2 linked regions of the Xenopus tropicalis genome follow. The protein of the gene in region 2 purifies or fractionates together with the protein of the main gene of each other region. This does not show direct contact. Links are inferred from orthologs where the notes say so. Each region holds a gene or a part of one and is shown on either strand. Other genes may lie near its edges.

Region 1 (10,551 bases), on a different chromosome or scaffold from region 2:
TTTTATGTAAGGTCCCTAGAAGCTCAGACCTCCCAAATGCATCTCAGATACAAAAAGAAGAGCAGAGAAAGATTGATGAAGCAGAGCCTCTCTGTTCTGAAGAGTCTGAAGAGAAGGAAAAACTTCTTACACAGGTACAATCAAAACAATTATGCTCCTGTGCGAGAACTAAACCCATTGTATACTACAGAGCTTATCTACTATTTAAACTGTACCAGTTATCCCTATTTAAGCTTGAATGGCTGCCCCCGTGGCTATATTGCAGTTTATTTGTATAAACTATAGTAGTGTTTTTGAAGTAAACACACCAATGCAGAGCAAAAGTATATTAGATTTAATACTTTCATATTTTTAGTTTACTGTTCCTTTAAGACTAAAATACTGATTATATATAAAAGAAGATTAAATTGTATTTGCATACTTTTGGTGCATAGCAGTCAGTTTCTTCAAGGGATTCTGTCATGACTTTTAAGGTTTACTTTTTATTTTTAAATTACACTGTTTACATAGCAAATAATACATTCTACCATTTAAAATGTTATTATTGAACCAACAAATGTATTTTTTTCTCTGTAATATTGGTGTTTAGACAGTGATCTCAGTGCATTTTGCCTAATTCTGAGCTTTCTCATATCTAACACTGGGGGGCATGGGAGCATTTTTAGCAATGCAGGAATGCAGGTATCAGGTAGCTGTTATCCTGTTACCTTCCATTGTTCTGCTTATCAGCTGCTGGGGAGGGGGTGATAGTTCTCCAACTTGCAGCTCAGCAGTAAAGAGCGACTAAAGTTTATCAGAACAAAAGTCACATGGCCGAGGGCACCCCGTAAACTAAAAACATGTCCAGCCAATGTCAAATTTTAAAATTAAATATAAAAAAAAAAATCTGTTTGCAGGATTCTGCTGGAGCAACTCAATTTACTGATACGTTTAAAAAAATGTGTTTTCCCTTGACAAAACCACTATAACTGCATGTTTTATATTTGGCGCATTTTGCATTAAAGTTTTTGCCCATGAATTTGAACTGTATTGTTCATCAGTTGTCAAGATGTTTTACCATGTTGGGAAAGCTGTTCTTGGAGTAGAGAATCTACACTGCAAAAGTGGTTAAATGTAGGGGAATTGGATATGGCTAGTACACCCAACCAATACTCTACCCCCAATCTGGAAGGGCTATAGAATTGACACAACAATTGACAGCTGCCTGCCCTGATCTTTTGCCTGGAAACAACCACAAACTTGGTCCCAACTCCAACCTGTAAGCCGCTAAGCCCTGACAAGAAGGCAGTGAATCACCTTTTCTCTGCTAGTGTATATACGAATTAAGCAGACAAAAAGAATAAATATCAGGGGCAGGGCTGCCATCAGAAATCATGGGTCCCCTCACAACAAAATTTTCTGCCCCACCTCCTCCCACGCCCTGCCCCCCAATGGCCCCTCCCCCAGTGACCCCTGCCATCAGTACAAAGGACACACAGACATTGTTAGCCAGGGCCCCCTAAAACATTGGTAGCCAGGACCCCCCTAAACATTGGTAGCCAGGGGTTACATTTTGCATTGGTGCCAGCCCAGGGCCCCCTAAAACATTGCTGGTCCTCCCCCAGTGTCCTCATACTATGGCCCACTCCCCACAAATATTTGTGTTTGTGATCAGTTAGCTTAAAGGTAGTGCTGGGCGGTATGACCAAAAATTTATATCACGGTATTTTTTTTATTATATCGGTATCACGGTATTTGACGGTATTTTTTTTTCCCCATGCATGATTACGTGACCACCCCAAACACCCCCCCCCCCAACCCCAAACACCCCCCCATCCAACCCCAAACACCCCCCCATCCAACCCCCCATCCAACCCCAAACACCCCCCCATCCCCTTCACATAAATAAACCTTACGGGCCAGGCAGCCGCAGGCACCCCCGACAGCTCACAGAGCCTCCTGGCAATTTTTCTTACTATTTCCGGGTTGCGCGCGTGACGTCAGCGTGCGCGTGACGTCAGCGCGCACGTAACGTCAGCGCGCACAACCCGGAAATAGTAAGAAAAATTGCCAGGAGGCGCCCACACCGGTATGCCGGTAAGTTAAAATTTTTTATCATCTTTTTTAAAAAAACCGGTGTTCGGTATATACCGGTATACCGCCCAGCACTACTTAAAGGGGTAGTTTATCTTTAAATTTACTTTTAATATAATGTAGACTGATATTCTGAGACAATTTGCAAGTGCTCCTCTTTTATTTTTAATGGTTTTTCAGTTATTTAGCTTTTTGTTAAGCAGCTCTCCATTTGGTATTTCAGCAGCTATGTGGTTGCTAGGATTTTATTTACCCTAGCAACCAGGTAGTGGTTTAAACAAGAGATGGAAATATGAATTGTTAAGGGGCCTGCATGGAAAAATAAGTAATAAAAAAAAAGGACAGTAATAATAAAATTGTAGCCTCACACAGCAATAATTTTTGGCACCCATTTGAATGCTGGAAAGAGGCAGAAGAGAAAAGCAAATTATTCAAGAACTATAAAAAAAATATAATAGGAAGACCAATTGCAAAGTTGCTAGGAATAGGCCATTTTATAACATACTAAAAGTTATCTTAAAAGTGAACCCCCCCTTTAGATGTGTTTACTTTAGTTTTATAGCAAGAAAGGCAGCGGGTACTGACACCCCACGCACATTATATACAGGGAGACGCAGTCTGTATTTACAAAACCAGCACATAATATGCAGTGAGGCGCAGTCTGTATTTACAAAACCAGCACATTATATGCAGTGAGACGCAGTCTATATTTACAAAACCAGCACATTATATGCAGTGAGGCACAGTCTATATTTACAAAACCAGCACATTATATGCAGTGAGGCGCAGTCTGTATTTACAAAACCAGCACATTATATGCAGTGAGACGCAGTCTATATTTACAAAACCAGCACATTATATGCAGTGAGATGCAGTGGGTACTGATTGCAGATATTCAGGCCCTGGCACTATAACACTGGCACTGTAACACAACATTGGCCCCACTGTAACTAACTAGAAATGAACAAAACAATGACAAAAGAAATAAAATAGTAAAAAAAATAGTAAGTGTAAAAAAAAAACAACAAACATATAAAAGCACAATGAGCTTTTTCAGGGGGAAAGAGTTAACTTACCATCCATCTGTTAGGATAGGTGATAGGGATATTATAGATGTCAGGTCAGGCAAATAACAATTTAATTTGAGCTAGTGATTCAGCCTATAGAACTTTATAGTACCTGTAGGAGTGGGATGAAATCTGCAGCAAAAGTTGACAGTTGGTTCTCATGTTTCCCCCTTCCCAGCATCCTCCAGCTCCCCCTCCCCAGCATCCTCATTTCCCCCCTCAGCATCCTCCAGCTTCCCCCTCCCAGCATCCTCCAGCTCCCCCTCCCCAGTATCCTCGTTTCCCCCCTCAGCATCCTCCAGCTTCCTCCTCCCAACATCCTCCAGCTCCCCCCCTCAGCATCCTCCAGCTCCACTCCTCAGCATCCTGTAGCTTCCCCCCCTCAGCATCTTCCAGCTCCACTCCCCAACATCCTGCAGTTCCCCCCCTCAGCATCCTCCAACTCCTCCCTTACCAGCATCCTACAGCTCCCCCCCTCAGCATCCTGTAGCTCCCTACAGCTCCCCCCAGCTCCGACCTTCTACTTCCGCCTGCTTCATCGTCCTTCAGTTCGTCTGTCCCCAGCTCCCCGCTGCAGCCCTCACTTTTATACTGTTGCGCCCTGTGTGTACTAACGCTACGTGCACGCACGGGGTGCAACCAATCAGGTCCCGTAATTCTAAAGAACAAGGAGGGTTAAAGCTTTGCACATGTGTAGAGTTGCTGTGGAAATATTTTGGTGAAACATAATGGCACTTATTTATTTGTTCTGGTTGATAGGGCTTCACAAATTGGAACAAACGAGACTTTAACCAGTTTATTAAAGCTAATGAGAAGTATGGCCGTGATGACATTGATAACATTGCAAGAGAGGTGGAAGGAAAGACACCAGAAGAAGTTATGGATTATTCAGGTTTGCTTACTTAAGAGATCCCTTATATTTATGTAGCCTTGTTTTTCCATCTTTAGCTAAATTTGGTTGGGAACTTTAACCAATTTTGACCATAATGTTTGATCATTTTGACATGTGTATCAGGTCTGGGTCCTCTGCACTCACCCACTATAAATATATATATATATATATATATATATATAGGACATTAAGACATTCTGTGCATTGAACTACTAAGAAATGCCCTCCCCCTTAAGCAAAATAGGAATTATTTGTCCATATACTGCAATATACTGCAAGCTGGCCAACTACGTCAAAGTCATCCGCCATCTTTATTACCGAATATATCACTCCCCCCTGTGAATTTTGGACTTCATTTTCACTTATTTAATATAACGTGTCTATCTGATTACTTTTTAGGAGTGTTTTGGGAACGCTGTAATGAACTTCAAGACATTGAGAAGATTATGGCTCAGATAGAGCGCGGTGAAGCAAGAATTCAAAGAAGGATCAGTATCAAGAAAGCCTTGGATGCCAAAGTATTGCAATCCACTATATTTACTCAAAGAATGAATTTATAGCTTTTAGTATTTTTTTATAGAGCATTAATGATCATTTCAGGTTTAAAGGAGAAGGAAAGGCTAGTAAAGAGTTAATCTCAAAATGCAGGCATACCTTCAGTTCTCTCAATAGTGCCCTTAAGTCTCCCCATATTTCTCCCGTTTAGAGGATCAGAAGCCAAACAGTAAGGAAAAACGCTAAGCTGGGTAGAGAAGATTCCCATAATGCATCGCTCCTCCCCAGACTCGGCGACTCAGAACTGTAGGCGGCGCATGCGCAGAAACAGGAGGCTCCCCCTAGCATCTGCAGCATGAGACACAGGTGCTGGTAGGGGAAGAGGCAAGGGGGGATGCGAGCGGAGCGGGTGGCAGTGGACGCAGCTCCAGGTGAAGGTAGAAGGCACTGTAAAGGTAGAAGCCGGTGGGGGGGGGCGAGGGGTGGTGGTGCTAGGTATTTTGCCTCTGTTTAATACTGCTGACTTTCTCTGATGCTTCTCATTTAGGAGCGATCTTACTGTAATTTAATTATCCTTCGACTTGCTGAAGTTTATTGAGAATTCAAGGATGTAGCTTGACATTCCTGTCCTAAAGTGGTTAACTGCAGCAGCTACCTAATCTTGGGCCGAATGCATTACTGTCACCTTTTTTCGGGCAAAGTGGTAGTAGATGGGCCGGTGGTGGTGCTGCTAGTGTACACATACTGCAGCTGCTGGGGGGTTGTCACAGAAGGACGCAGGGGGGAGCAGGGGGGCGTATGGAGGATTTTGGGGACGCATGCGCAGTAGAGACAGTGAGGAAAGAGGAGTGGGCATCCCTTGTTAAAGATGGAGGCGCCGTTCACTGAAACAAGTATGTAGAATGTAGCAGGTGTATCGCTGTAAATCTTTCATTAGGCAAGCTAGAAATATAGTGTTTTTACATAGCAATAGTAGTACTATTTAATAGTGTGGTTAATAGATTTTGACTTTCCTTCTCCTTTAAGAAGCTATTTTCTAACATGGATAAATGTTTTTCATTATATATTCATTATTGGGCTTTATTGATTCTGTGGGGTGTTGGAGCTCAGTGCTGTTGCTGAGCTCTTACAACCCACATAACAGAACAATGTTCTGCTGACCAAAGCAGTCAAACATTATTAGCAACTGACACATTCATCTGCTTTAATTAATGTCAGTTTGCTAAACTTTCCTGACGGTCGGCAAAGTGTTAAGTAACTGAAAACATTTCCTTTACGATTCCAGAGTTTGAATTTTACATCTGACATTGTCTTAAAGAGATATTGACACCAGAAATAAAACCTTTTTTACATCTATCATAACACTGGCTTTGCATGCTATTTATAATTTTGCCTTAAAAGTATTTGCCCAGTGCTTTTACATTCCCTATCTGATCCCCCATGTACCTCTATGAGGGGGCGGCCATATTAGTGCTGCAGGAGTCCATTATCATTAGAAGCTATAACTGACAGGCTGAGAAGGGACAGTCAGGTTGGCAAAACTTCAGGTAACAATTACTTACAAAAGCAGCCCTATTAGCAAAAAACATGACCTATAGGGAACTTTTTATGTAGATTCATATTCTCAGAAGTAATTTTTTCATGTCAGTATCACTTTAATCCAGCAAATACTGCCACTATATTTATAGTAGTTATAACAGTTGCTAATCCTGCTGTTTACATAAGCTGGTTATAGATAAATTTATATATATAGTAAATTCCATTTAGGTTTTTAACAAAATATTTGAAAAGATGCAAAAGACTGATACAGTAGTCATAACACAATAAGAAAGGATTGAGTACACGTTCTTAAAATGTACAGGGGCGCTAAGGGCTCTAACAGTAAATCTGCAGACAGAAGTTGCTTCTCTCGGGTTTATGTATAAAAAGTGCATAAACGCTATCTGAACTTCAAGAAATAAATATAAATCTATTGCAGTACATGTGTGTAATCCAACTCCTGTCCACCTATCACCTTGTCCCATTGTGAAGTGATGAATTCTGGGACTTGAACTCCTTTTGCTATCCATAGCGGGTGGTGCATGAATTCTCTGAAAAGTAGTGGGACTTCAAGTGCCAGAAGCAATCGCTTCACAATGGGATAAGGTGATGGAGGGGTTGGATCAGTCTGTAAGACTAAAGGCGGGGTAAGGAACTGGTCTGTAAAACACAAGTAGACGATCATGGTTTCCACTAAAACGGAGGAATTAAAAAACACATTTCTGTTTAAATCTGGAAGTTAAGATTTGTGTACCTTTTCTACATAAGCCCAATTGAATGAGCTTATGACAAAAAGGGGGGGGGGCCATATAAAGAAATATATTCCCTTTAAATTCTTCAAGCAGAACTGATAATTATTTTAGAGGGGAAGTACACACCCTTTTCAGCATGAGTTCATGTGCTAAACACACTTTTTCCTTAGTATTTTAGGGAAAGGCATTTGGCTCGGAACATTAAATATGTGTTTATAGTGATTTCTAGAAGGTAGGCTGGAGGTTTTCACTTTTTGGTGAATTAATGTGGGGATTAATAAGAATATTGTTCTTTGTTGTGTTTAGATTGCAAGGTACAAAGCTCCTTTTCATCAGCTGAGAATCCAGTACGGCACAAACAAAGGCAAAAACTATACAGAAGAAGAGGACAGGTTTCTCATATGCATGCTTCATAAAATGGGCTTTGATAAGGAAAATGTATACGAGGAATTACGTCAGTGCGTGCGAAATGCTCCTCAGTTTAGGTTTGATTGGTTTATCAAATCAAGGACTGCCATGGTAAGCATACTTCTATTTTAATTGCTTGATGTAAAGCTTCAGTTTCTGTTCATCATACTAATTGTAGTGAAGTGTCTTCCCCAGAAATCCTGCATAACTATGTACTTGTTTATAGATCCCCACTTATCTGGTAGTTTTGGACTAGCAAAATTCCAGATTATAAATAAAACACTGTTGTTACCCTACTTATAATATGAATTAGCTCTCTAAAACTATATCCCCAGAATGAATACTTAACCAACAGATAATTTGTATAATATTAAGTGGCCTGTTAAAGAGCATTACCACACTGGAATATGAATATGAATAGCAGTTAATATTTCCGTTCTTCTATTTTTACTTGAGCCACCGTTTTGTGATGGTCCGTGTTCTCCCTCAGAAGTCACCTGACAGGAAATAATGCACCTGTAACAGGAAGAAGCGTGGGAGCAAAAGACAGAACTTTAAATGAGCTCATGTGACCTAGCATGTATGTGTGTCCAGTAAATTGTATGCTCCCAGCGGGCAGCCCATAGTACTTAAAATCACAATTTTCTATTTAGGGCTACCCAAAGCACATACTACAGTACTAAAAAAGTATATTTTTATGAAAATGGTTTATTTAGCTGAAACAGTATTTTACATATGAGCTTATTTATGCAATATATTAATGTAGAGACCTACATTGTTCAGGGGAAGAGTTTTGCTTTAAAGCTTTTCCTCTAATTGCTGAACCTCATTATTTTTTATCTCAGTATCTGAGCATTCATATAATGATCATTTTTGACGTTAACCTTACAATTTTGAAATCAGAACCATAGAGCAACTCAATCAAATTTCTATGACTTTTCTATACTTAAATACATCTTTCCAGCACATAAACCCCAAAGCACTAACCGATGACAGGGCAAAAAGAAAAATGAGAGCGGGCCACAGCTATCACTTTATTTTTATTGTCAAAAATGTCTCAAAGTTTTCAGCTCTGTTTAGTAAGCAAATATAAATAAATGTCTCGCTTACAAGTGAAAAACTGCTGAAAGATTTAAACCTTGCCACTGAAATGTGTGCCTATTGGAAATAATATACAGAGGGAGAACATATTTTTTTGCTGTTTAAACAATAAGATTGCTGGAAACTTTTACCAAACTGCTCTATAGATTCCATGCAGATTCAAGTTTTGTAAATGTCAATGTTAATCAGGAGGAATGGAGGAATTAACCAGTGTTAATCAGATGGAGGAATACCATGTACTTATCAATAAATCTAGTGACTTGTTTGAAGGCCTTATGAGCATATAGTAAGAATAATAAATAGCTAATTTGCTTAGAAAATTTGATGGCAACCATATGATGTAATATTTTTTTATTATTTTATACACATTGCATTAACATTTAAGTGTACTGTGTACATTATAAGAAGAAAAACATAAATATAGTGTGCAGGTTTTGACCCATTTAACTACTCGATGCACTAAAATATCTCACAGTATGTGTTTAGTGTATTCTAATTAACTAAGGTTTATTGGGAATTGCAGAGTAGTAGCATTTTCTACACTGGCAGAACATTCTATATTAATATTAATCTCCATTTGCTCTAGAGGAATAAAGTTAATATGTAATATAAAGTTTTATTATAGCTTTCTTTGTCCTTTTCCATCTCACAGTGGGGATAGGAGAGTTGAAATAGGGTTATACAAACTATGAAACTTTATTTTGGCATTAATTGAACATAAGTGGGCTTAGTGCCTTCAATTCAATGTCAATTGGTGTAACTATAAAGGAAAAGGCCCCTCTAGGTCTGCTTCTGCTATGGCTGTAGAGAAATCCCCCCTCCTCGGGTGCTTTCCTACCTTAGAGCAAGCAGGGAGAGGGGGACATGACCAGATGGGGGGATGTGACCAGGCAAGTGTCATTGTGTATGTACTGGAAGGGAAGGGGCAGCTAAAATAAATAAGGGACATATTTGTTTCAGTTATAACAGGAAATAGGGGATAGAGGGGGTAAGTATTGAGGCATACTTTGCTTTAAAGGAGCAGTGTAAATAGAAAAAGAGGGGGTGTGTTTTTGTATATTAATTATAATTTAACACCCAGAAAACAGGAAGAAGCTGTAGTAAGAATGAATAAAATCCCTTTTCCTTTCTGTATCACAGAGAAGCCAGATTACAGTTTTACTTGAAGAGATCACATTCAAGCTTATATCCTGGAGAATGGCATTATGGGTAGTAATAATGTAGTTATAAGTAGCAATCTGCATAGTTGTCAGTTTAAGAAAAGGTTAGATGCCTTTTTAGCAGATAAGAAATACATTACTGCCCAGTTACATTAGGGAACGAGGAAGATTTTTCTGCAGCAGACTGAAAACTGCTTAAAAGATTCAGTTTTTTCACCTTCCTCTATCAGTAGAAGTTGAATAATAATAATAATAATAAGGCCAATAAAATGGTGGCAAACGTTTTACTCTTTTAATTTAGTCTACTAAGGTTTAATTTGCTGACCCCAGAAGAAAAATCAAGGAGGCCTATATCTACATTAAAGCAAGCACTAACCAAAAACCAGGAAAGATAACAAAAAAGGCAAGGATCTTTGAAAGAATGAGATCATGTTTGAAGCTGTCAGTTTTACTTTAAGTGGAAATGACTTGAAAGCATTTGGAGGAGGAAAATAAGTTAATTGACCCAGCTCTGATTTCTCTGCAAAATACCTGAAATTGAACATACATCAGTTAACGGAATAATCATACACTGTGTTACAAACGCAGTGTATATGCTGTACAGTCAAAAAGCATGTTTTCTATTTCAAATACAGTTAATAGGTGATGTTTACGTAACACATAAGGGAAAAGGGTAATGCAGATTATAATATATAAAGCTACATATATATATACATATATATATTTTTTAATATACATATCATTTCTTATATATAAGGTTTATGGGCTATTATGTGTCGGACATCAAATAACCAAATTTTCAGTACTTTTACTGCAGTAAATTCTGCCACTCCTAATAGACATTTGCATGCAGAAATCTGGTCTGGCCACTAGATGTCTCTCAATGCAAATGAGTATGTTAGCACATATTTTCTGTTTTCAGTTCCATCATCGGTTTTGATCCTTTAGGTTGTGGCTGTAGTTCCCAACTGCATATACATCAGGAAGAAAAATCCAGGGGTCCTGCAGTTGTTACGACTGATGACTGCCGAGAATTAAGGACACTATTAAAGTAGCTCTCTGTC
Region 2 (11,238 bases):
CCCCCCCCCCCCCCTCCGGTCCTATTGTGTTCTTGTATTTATGTGACTGTGCAATAAAGTGACAGTGTTCTGTGACCAACCCATGTCCCCTGTGCTTACAGACCTATACACGGGGGGTAGGTGCCATTGCTAAGCGCGCTATAGTGCCAGCCAAACGCCATGTTATCTTATATATGGACCAATATGGCCATATTATGTTATAGAATAGTCAATTCTAAGCAACTTTTCAATTGGTCTTCATTATTTATTTGTTATAGTTTTTTAATTATTTGTCTTTGCAGTTTTTAAACAGGGGTCACTGACCCCGGCAACCAAAAAACTATTGCTCTGTGAGGCTCCAGCTTTACTGTTATTGATACTTTTTGCAACTTTCTATTCAGTCCCCTCTCCTATTCATATACCAGTCTTTCATCCAAACCACTCCCTGGTTGATAAGGTAACTTGGACCCTAGCAACCAAATAGCTGGTTGTTAAGGTAACTTGGACCCTAGCAACCAAATAGCTGCTGACATGCCAAACTGGAGAGCTAAATGAAAATAATGAAATAACTAAAAATACTATCAAAAATGAAGATCAGTTGCAAATGGTCTCAGAATATTACTCTCTACATCATACTAAAGGCAGAGGGGCTTAAAGTCCCAGAATGCACCACCTCACAGTGGGAAAAGGTGAGGGAGGGAGGGGCTGCATGACCACTAGGGGCCTAATGGGAACTGGTTCTGTAAGCAGAGACACACTGCCGTGTTTATATGTATTTGTGAAAGGATGCCTACCCCCATATGTAATAAAGGGCACTAAGTTTGCCCAGTAGCAGTAACCCATAGCAACCAATAAGATTTTTTTTTTTTTTTAAAATCCTACCTGCTGATTGGTTGCTATGGGTTACTGCTCCTGGGCAAACTTAGTGCCTTTTATTATATAACCCCCATAGTGTTCATGCAACTGGATGAGCTCATGTGAAAAGAGGGGTATATTTTCCCTTTAGAACAACTCAAAAGGGAATCCAAACGCAACAATGAACTGACAGAAACTGCTACAAGAAGCAAATTAATATAAATTGCTCACAAAAGCAGCCTCACTAAGCTTATTAGGTATAGTTTTGGGAGTCAGCAATGCTAGGGTTAACTGAGTACAGGAGAGCTGCTGGGCTCAAATCCTGGTATTAGCAGCCTAAAACTGCAACTATCCGAACTATATAAATGAATGTAAGTTGCAGTTTTAAGATCACACTGAATATGCTCACATATGAATGGCAATGTTTCCAGACTTCAGTCCCTATATTACCCCACATGGCACACAGCGCCCAATTACAAATATATCTTTTATACTGACTCCATGAAAATCAAAGCATTTATGTTACTCGCTTCTGCCTACCCCCCCGGCTGCAATGAAGCAGAGGGCAGTCACCACATTGTGCCCAATATTAGATTTGCCACATACACTGTATAGCTGAAAATAATCCACATACTTCTTAATGCCGTGCCCACAGCTGGAACGCCCGAAACTGACTCCGGAAGCAACATCAGCTCCGTAACTACTGTAGGGCAAAGCCAAGCGTCCGCTGGAGTGGCGTAAAGGCGCCGCCATTGGACTGAGGAGAGATAAATGGCATTTCACCAGCTGGCAGGCTGATGGGAAAGTCACGGGGACACTATCTGCCCGAATGCATAATGGAAACGTTGGCTGGTAGAGGTGTATGATTGGCTGGGGCTGGGGCTGTTTCCATGGATTAAGCCCCTGGTTCCAGTGATACCTGAAGGCTACAGGGTACAATAGGGTAACCATATGTCTGGTTTTGACCCAGACAGCCCAGTTTTCAGAAGGACTGTCCAGGTCAAAACCTCCTTCCCAGTTTCCATACTGTCATAGCACCGCCCATTAACATCACAGCCCTGCTTCTCCAGCGCCCTATGGTGTCACAGCCCCGCCTCTACCCCGCCCCCAAGATATCAGGGCCCACCCCCTGCTCAGCGGCAAATGCCAGCAGAAGAGGCAACCCTAGGGTAGGGTGACCAGATGACTTGAAAATTCCGGGACACGTCTAATAAATACATGTTGCAGGACAGCACTGATTGTATTTAAATTAAACTGCAATCAGTTCAGCCCTGCCAGCTGGATTTTCTAGAAGTGTCCCTGAATTTTCAAGTCATCTGGTCACCCTACCCTAGGGTACAATGCCATTCGTGACAATTCTGCACTTTATACAATAGTCTGGAGAAGAGCTCTGAGCCTTAACCCAACTGAAGCCCTTTAAAGGAGAAGGAAAGGCAACAAAAGAGTTAATCCTACCATCCATTGTCTCAAAGGTGCCCTTAAGTCTCCCCATATAGTGATGGTTTACAGGTTTTGAAGCCAAACCGGACAAAAAATCGCTGAGCTGTGTGAATAAAGTTCCCATGATGCCTCTCTCCTTCGCAGACTTGACGACTTGTGAACAATGTGGATAAGCAGTGGGCGCGCACAAGCAGGCACGCTCTCCATTCAGCACCCTCTGCTCCCCAGTGGGAGCGGACCGTAGCAACGAGCGGCGGGGGCGCTGGTGGGGGGAGAGTTCCGAGCGGACCGTAGCAACGAGCGGTGGGGGCGCTGGTGGGGGGGAGAGGCAAGGGGGGAGAGTTCCGAGCGGACCGTAGCAACGAGCGGCGGGGGCGCTGGTGGGGGGAGAGTTCCGAGCGGACCGTAGCAAGCGAGCGGCGGGGGCGCTGGTGGGGGGAGAGGCAAGGGGGGAGAGTTCCGAGCGGACCGTAGCAAGCGAGCGGCGGGGGCGCTGGTGGGGGGAGAGGCAAGGGGGAGAGTTTCCGAGCGGACCGTAGCAAGCGAGCGGCGGGGGCGCTGGTGGGGGAGAGGCAAGGGGGGAGAGTTCCGAGCGGACCGTAGCAAGCGAGCGGCGGGGGCGCTGGTGGGGGGAGAGGCAAGGGGGGAGAGTTCCGAGTGGACCGTAGCAAGCGAGCGGCGGGGGCGCTGGTGGGGGGAGAGGCAAGGGGGAGAGTTCCGAGCGGACCGTAGCAAGCGAGCGGTGGGGGCGCTGGTGGGGGGAGAGGCAAGGGGGAGAGTTCCGAGCGGACCGTAGCAAGCGAGCGGCGGGGGCGCTGGTGGGGGGAGAGGCAAGGGGGGAGAGTTCCGAGCGGACCGTAGCAAGCGAGCGGTGGGGGCGATGGTGGGGGGAGAGGCAAGGGGGGAACGGACTGGAGTGAAGGAGCGAATGGGGGGGAACTGACAAAAGGAAGCGAGTGAACCAGAGGGGTGATGTGTGACAAGAGGGGGGCGGCGTTGTGCAGACGAGGACGCGAGCGTGTATGTTATGGATACACATAAGTAGATACACATAAGGATGCAGCTGCTGGGGGGGGGGGGGAGACACAGAAGGATGCGGGGGGCGCAGGGAGGATGTTGGGGGCGCATGCGCAGTAGAGACAGTGAGGGAAAGGGCGGCGCCGTTCACTGACACAAGTATGTAGAATGTAGCAGGTGTATCTTTCACTAGGCAAGCCAGGAATATAGTGTTTTTACTCAGCAATAGTAGTACTGTTTAATAGTGTGCTTCATAGATTTTGACTTTCCTTCTCCTTTCAGATGAACTGTAACCCCCCCCCCCTGCTGTGAGCCAGGCCTGATCCCCAACATCAGTGCCCACCTCTCACCTGTGCCAATCCCAGCAGCCATGTCCCACAGTCTATTAGAAACCCTCCCAGATGAATCCCATTGGTTATCATTGCTTATCATAGTTTTATTACTGTATCATTGCTAATAAAAGGCTCTGGGTACAATCTGAGAGGATAATTATTGTATGACTGCCAAAAAAAGGCTCTGGGTACACTCAGCCAATCAGAATACCTCACAGAAAAGACGAAACGACGCACTGACCAATAAGATTTATCCATTAGTAGTTTATCCAATAGGGATATAAAGACGCGTTAGCTCTTCCAATGGAATGAAAAAGGCGGGAACGAATCACGATTGACTACGTCTTTAGCCAATAGGGAAGTCCGTACCCGTCGTCCAATTGTAAGGACGGTACCAGACGCTTTTCGTGTCCGTGTTGCGGCGCCAGCATCGCGAACCAATACCAGCGAAGGAACTTTATACACACAACCAATAGGAAGCCGCGGATAGGCGAGCGCACAGAGGGAATAAGGAGCAGTGGCTTCGCCGCGACAATAACAGCAGCGGTTGTGACTGCCGGTCAGCTCGGTAACAGTGAGCCTTTCTCTCCCCGCAGCCATGACGTCAGCCTCCACCAAGGTACCCGGGAATGGGGACTTGACTCCTCATTGGCGGGGCGGGAGCATGTGACCTGTTTCTGGCCTAGGGTATGCTGGGAATTGTAGTTGAAACATAAATAAAGCCATATATTGTCTAAGTACTAGATAATAGCCTGCATACATAAGGACAGAGGAAAACTGCTCATTTATACTAATATAGGAGCCTTCAGTTTATAGCTGGTGGTGGATACTGGGAGTTGAAGTTCAATAGCAGTAGCACAGGGTGGGTAGTGTACAGCATTACTATGGCCATCTTATTAACCCCTTATTCTGTCTAACCAGTAGGGCTTCAGTATCAGAGGTGCCCATAGCAACCCCCCCCCATTAAAGGACACGTCAACCCCAAAAATATATATTTTTTTGCCTAATAAATAATAAATAATTTGTCGGGTTGACGTGTCCTCGGTGTTACTTGCTGCTATATAATAATAATAATAATAATCCCAGTCCTGCGCTTAAGGGCAAATGCCCATACCTGGTGCACTCTTACCTTCCAATTTGTGCCTGTATGTTACCCAACCACTTAGACTGTAAGCTCTACGGGGCAGGGACCTCCTTCCTACTGTGTCTCATACCACATGGCACTTATATATATATATACATATATGTATTTATTGTATTTATTTATTATATCACTTGCCCTCCCTGTGTGTAATTTTGTATTCTGTAAGACTGTACAGCGCTGTGTACCCTTGTGGCGCTTTATAAATAAAGTTATACATACATACAATAATAGAGTCCTATGTAGCGTTATATTACCACCACTCTCTTGTATTATCTGTACCACTAGGTGGCGCTCTGAGCTGCACTCGGCACAGATAGCACCCATTTTTTCTTTTTTTTTTCTTTTTTAAAAGCCCAAGGTCGTGCTTTCTTCCTAAGTGCAAAAAAGTGCAAAATCCACACAAAGTGCACGAAGGTGCATAGTTGGCCAGCCCCAAAAGGGACGATAGCCTCTGTACTCGTATCCACAGGCCAAAGGCGCGGCGAAGAACGAGTCTTCGAGCCCTCCTTCGCCGAAGCTAGGGAGGGCCCCTTTACATCCCCGACCCCCGGACCAAAAGGCTCACGGGGGCAAAGGTCTTCGGACTCTCCTTCGCCGCAAGGCTAGGGAGAGTCCCTTTCCTCCAGATTCCGCCGAGGCTTCCTCCGAGGTACAAAAACAACGTCTCGGGGAGAGACTGGAACCAGATGGCCACACAGTCCTCCCCTTGGTCTGTGGGGCATACCCGAATGGGCAACTGCACCCTCAAACCTATTAGAAGGGTCACACATAACAAAGTGCAGTGACAACACAAGGATTGCATAAATAGAAAATAAAAAAGTGCCCCAGCCTGACGGCCGGAATTATAAACATTTTCTTTGCTCTAGCCAAAAGGCCGGGGCAAAAGAAGCGAGTGTAGCATAAAAGTTAAAGTGCCATTGTGCAAAGTGCCGTACTTAGTGCAGCGTGAGCCACCACCTCACTGTGCTTTTTCGGGCACCCTGGGGTTGCTACTCCCAGGGCACGGCGCACCTCGGGCTTTCATGCTACCGGCCCTTTGGCCAGAGGATCAAGGTAGACTGTCTTATGTGGAGGGCCAGCCAAAACCCTCCTAAGAACAGATACTACACTTGATCTTAGCCAAAAGGCCGAGAAGCGATAGCACAGATAGCACCCATTTGTCAGTCACTAGAATGCTAAGCATGTGCCTTATTAGGGACAAACAAAGTCCCGTTTTGGCTGATAATGTTGCTTGTGTTTTATTGGTCCCTGTAGGTCGGGGAGATCTTTTCTGCTGCCGGAGCTGCCTTCACCAAACTGGGAGAGCTCACCATGCAACTCCATCCTGTGACTGATTCCTCTCCTGCTGGGTAATGGCCTCCTCTTGTAATAACTGTCTACATATGGGGAACCCCTCATATAAACTACTTGTTACAGGCCCCTCCCACTTACCCAGCATTCTGTGTGTGTGTGTGTCACATGGTATAAGTGTATCTGTGAGGTGAAACCCACCTAGATATGGGGAACCCCTCATATAAACTACTTGTTACAGGCCCCTCCCACTTACCCAGCATTCTGTGTGTGTGTGTGTCACATGGTATAAGTGTATCTGTGAGGTGAAACCCACCTAGATATGGGGAACCCCTCATATAAACTACTTGTTACAGGCCCCTCCCACTTACCCATCATTCTGTGTGTATGTGTCACATGGTATAAGTGTATCTGTGAGGTGAAACCCACCTAGATATGGGGAACCCCTCATATAAACTACTTGTTACAGGCCCCTCCCACTTACCCATCATTCTGTGTGTATGTGTCACATGGTATAAGTGTATCTGTGAGGTGAAACCCACCTAGATATGGGGAACCCCTCATATAAACTACTTGTTACAGGCCCCTCCCACTTACCCATCATTCTGTGTGTATGTGTCACATGGTATAAGTGTATCTGTGAGGTGAAACCCACCTAGATATGGGGAACCCCTCATATAAACTACTTGTTACAGGCCCCTCCCACTTACCCATCATTCTGTGTGTATGTGTCACATGGTATAAGTGTATCTGTGAGGTGAAACCCACCTAGATATGGGGAACCCCTCATATAAACTGCTTGTTACAGGCCCCTCCCACTTACCCATCATTCTGTGTGTATGTGTCACATGGTATAAGTGTATCTGTGAGGTGAAACCCACCTAGATATGGGGAACCCCTCATATAAACTACTTGTTACAGGCCCCTCCCGCTTACCCATCATTCTGTGTGTGTGTGTCACATGGTATAAGTGTATCTGTGAGGTAAAACCCACCTAGATATGGGGAACCCCTTATATAAACTACTTGTTACAGGCCCCTCCCACTTACCCATCATTCTGTGTGTATATGTCACATGGTATAAGTGTATCTGTGAGGTGAAACCCCCCTAGATATGGGGAACCCCTCATATAAACTACTTGTTACAGGCCCCTCCCACTTACCCATCATTCTGTGTGTATGTGTCACATGGTATAAGTGTATCTGTGAGGTGAAACCCACCTAGATATGGGGAACCCCTCATATAAACTACTTGTTACAGGCCCCTCCCATTTACCCATCATTCTGTGTGTATGTGTCACATGGTATAAGTGTATCTGTGAGGTGAAACCCCCCTAGATATGGGGAACCCCTCATATAAACTACTTGTTACAGGCCCCTCCCACTTACCCAGCATTCTGTGTGTATGTGTCACATGGTATAAGTGTATCTGTGAGGTAAAACCCACCTAGATATGGGGAACCCCTCATATAAACTGCTTGTTACAGGCCCCTCCCACTTACCCATCATTCTGTGTGTCTATGTCACATGGTATAAGTGTATCTGTGAGGTAAAACCCACCTAGATATGGGGAACCCCTCATATAAACTACTTGTTACAGGCCCCTCCCACTTACCCATCATTCTGTGTGTGTGTGTCACATGGTATAAGTGTATCTGTGAGGTGAAACCCACCTAGATATGGGGAACCCCTCATATAAACTACTTGTTACAGGCCCCTCCCACTTACCCATCATTCTGTGTGTATGTGTCACATGGTATAAGTGTATCTGTGAGGTAAAACCCACCTAGATATGGGGAACCCCTCACCTTACGGGCCCCTCCCATTTACCCATCATTCCAGTATGTATGCCCCCCCTTTTCTCCCATGCCCCCTGTGTGACTCCTGGTTTCCTGTTGTGTCTCCCCAGGGCCCGCTGGACAGACACAGAGATTCAGATGTTGCATGCGGCTGTCAAACGCTTCGGGGAAGACTTAAATCAGATCAGCTCAGTTATCAAGGAGAGGACAGTGTAAGGAAAGCCGGCGGACTTTCCAGAAAAATGGGAAGGATTAAAGGGGATATAAACCCAACAATACGACGTTACCTTATGAAAGAAAATGACACTTCCCAATATATATATATTCACTGCACATTTTTGGGTTTACATCCCCTTTAAGTGCAGCCTCAGGGGCTTTGCAGCTCTGTGTCTGGAAAGGCCGGCTCTGGGGAGGGAGCTGCTATGTTGCTGTTTCTCTATATTAGGGATTGTAGGGGGTGCCTATTGGCACGTAACTCTAGTGCTTATACCGACCAGGTATTGGGCAGTTCCAGACATGTGACAGCTGCTAGACACGCCAAGTGCGACGGTGCCTTCACACTGGCCCCTTTCCCAGCAGCCAATGTAGGTTTAGGACATCAGTCAGGGAGCTTAGGGTCCCTTGCCCCTTGTGTTTCTGCCCCTCCTCCCTTTTTTCCCCCTTATACTCTCTGCCTCTCCTTCATGCCCCTTTTGTCCTCCGCCAGGGCCCAGATTAAGTTCGCCGTGAAGAGGAAGATTTACGATGATAACGGCGTCCCTCTGACCAGCGACTCCCCGAGGAAGTCGATAAAGAAAGCGTCGCCCGTGTCCTCCTCTGTGCCCGCCAACATGTCCGTGTCGGCGCCGCAGGTCGTGGGTGGCACCTCTCTCCCTGACGGCTCACAAGGAGCCATGAAGAAGCGCAAGTCATCAGGTGGGTGAATTGGCAGCGAGTGTGTACTGTGAGTACGGTGGCCCGGAGGGCACAGAGAAGGGCCACTGCCTAATGAGGCTGCTGTATAAATCTAGGGGTACCGCAGCTCTATGACAATAAAGAAATATTCCCTTATGGCTGTGTTCAGGGGCTTATGGGAAGATTTCTTTGTTGTCTTTCTTAGTTTGTCCTTTAGATTTAACTCCCCACCCCCCCGTGTGCCCTCCCCTCTCTCGTTCCAGCAGATGTGACTCTCAGCGCGCTTAATGACTCCGATGCAAACAGTGACCTGGTGGATATAGAGGGCTTGGGCGACAGAAGTACGGTGAAAAAACTCAACTTTGATCAGGGTGTGCTACGTGCAAATGTTTCCCCTTCCTTTGCCTGCCCTCTCTCTCCTATTCTGAGCTAAACTCCCTTCCCCCCTGACATGTACCCCCCAGCCCACCCACCACTTTCTCTCCTTCTCTCCTACATGCATTACTGTGAGTGCAGGCATATAGAATGGCCAACTCAGGCTAAGGTGCTGAACGGGGGCCTTAACTGGCCAGGTATTTCATCTGGGGAGCTACTAGAGGAGACTATATTGATGGAGTTTTTATACTCCCCCTATTATTGCATTGGGTTCCTGCAGGTACCCCTGTTTCCTCCCACCCCATACATACAGGCAGGTTAACTGGCTTCTGATTGGCTCTTATGTGTGAAAGTGATAGGGCCCTTAGATTGTAAGCTACCCTTCCATCCGATGCTTGCATTCTATAAACCAGCGACTGGTTGCATGATGGGGGGGGTTATACGGTGCATGACGGGGGCCCATTTTTCTTCTCCCTTTCTCTCACCCATAATAATATTCTTCCCTCTCCCTTTCAGATAGCCTAAACCTGGATCCCAGTTTCATCATGAACTCAGGGGACCTGCCGCTCTTATCTCGCTGATTATCCCGGCCCGTGTTGCCCCCCCCCCCACCGTTTGTGTAAATAGGCCCTGTATAAACCCCGCCCCCTCCCACAGTGCTTGTGTTCCTTTGTTAGTATCTAGAGCCCGGTGCTGGTTCCGGAGCCAAAGCCAACGCTGGGCTGCAACAGATGTTTTTTATGAAGAGAAGGAACATTCCGGCCTGTTCCAGGTCAGTTGCACTCCCAGGGGTTGCAGGGAGTAGCCGCGGGAGAGTTTCTGGGAGTGTATCCCTTCTTAGTGATGTAAAATACTGACTGAGGCTTTTTTTATATTGATAAGAATAAAAGGTGTAAATACATTGCCAGTGTCTGTCAAATGCATCCTTTCCATAGGGGGTCCCCCTTGTCCAGGCCCGGACTGGCAATCTGTGGGTTCAGGCAAATGCCAGAGGGGCTGCTGTAAGGTGCCATAGACACTCACTATTTATTGGGCTGCTGGGGGGCTGTTTGGGCCTCTGTGTACTGAAAATCAGGCCCGGACTGGCAATCTGTGGGTTCAGGCAAATGCCAGAGGGGCTGCTGTAAGATGCCATAGTCACTCACTATTTATTGGGCCTATGGGGGGCTGTTTGGGCCTCTGTGTACTGAAAATCAGGCCCGGACTGGCAATCTGTGGGTTCAGGCAAATGCCAGAGGGGCTGCTGTAAGGTGCTATAGACACTCACTATTTATTGGGCCTATGGGGGGCTGTTTGGGCCTCTGTGTACTGAAAATCAGGCCCGGACTGGCAATCTGTGGGTTCAGGCAAATGCCAGAGGGGCTGCTGTAAGGTGCTATAGACACTCACTATTTATTGGGCCTATGGGGGGGGCTGTTTGGGCCTCTGTGTACTGAAAATCAGGCCCGGACTGGCAATCTGTGGGTTCAGGCAAATGCCAGAGGGGCTGCTGTAAGGTGCCATAGACACTCACTATTTATTGGGCCTATGGGGGGCTGTTTGGGCCTCTGTGTACTGAAAATCAGGCCAGGGCTGGCAATCTGTGGGTTCAGGCAAATGCCAGAGGGGCTGCTGTAAGGTGCCATAGACACTCACTATTTATTGGGCTGGTGGGGGGCTGTTTGGGCCTCTGTGTACTGAAAATCAGGCCCGGACTGGCAATCTGTGGGTTCAGGCAAATGCCAGAGGGGCTGCTGTAAGGTGCCATAGTCACTCACTATTTATTGGGCTGCTGGGGGGGCTCTTTGGGCCTCTGTGTACTTGAAATGCCAGGGCCTATTTTGAATCCCATTCCGGACCTCCCCAAACATATATATCTATATCCCCGTCTCTTCCATACGCGCCTGTACTGACTAATGAATGGTGACCCCTCTGCTGGTAGAAGGCGGTATTGCAGAAGATGTGCTTGTTCCGTGGCCCGGGGGATATTTATAACTCGGGTGGGATCCAAGGCATCATTTCAATATTTTTTTAACCACTTACAGTCTGGGTGGGCATCTTGCCCCCTTCTTGAGCTGCCGATTTGCCCAGCGCTCTGAAGCAGCACAAGCAGAACTGGCAGAGCTTTAGGGTTG

The links. Proteins that work in one complex are often made in the same cells at the same time.
Region 1: the proteins of c17orf49 (region 2) and smarca1 purify together in Homo sapiens (affinity purification with mass spectrometry; 4 studies listed by BioGRID and IntAct, with this or other methods). This does not show direct contact. The link is inferred for Xenopus tropicalis from reciprocal best matches to the Homo sapiens genes BACC1 and SMARCA1.

Annotation. Positions count from the first base shown.
Region 1 is NC_030684.2:50,388,583-50,399,133, reverse strand, and holds part of smarca1 (probable global transcription activator SNF2L1), read left to right. Parts: intron 1-11; coding exon 12-134; intron 135-3,899; coding exon 3,900-4,032; intron 4,033-4,431; coding exon 4,432-4,550; intron 4,551-7,124; coding exon 7,125-7,337; intron 7,338-10,551.
Region 2 is NC_030679.2:142,452,976-142,464,213, forward strand, and holds c17orf49 (chromatin complexes subunit BAP18), read left to right. Parts: upstream 1-4,045; 5' UTR 4,046-4,221; coding exon 4,222-4,242; intron 4,243-5,809; exon of another isoform or gene 5,810-5,906; intron 5,907-6,021; coding exon 6,022-6,116; intron 6,117-7,965; coding exon 7,966-8,067; intron 8,068-8,561; coding exon 8,562-8,770; intron 8,771-9,015; coding exon 9,016-9,120; intron 9,121-9,640; coding exon 9,641-9,705; 3' UTR 9,706-10,025; downstream 10,026-11,238. UniProt on the Homo sapiens protein: Component of chromatin complexes such as the MLL1/MLL and NURF complexes.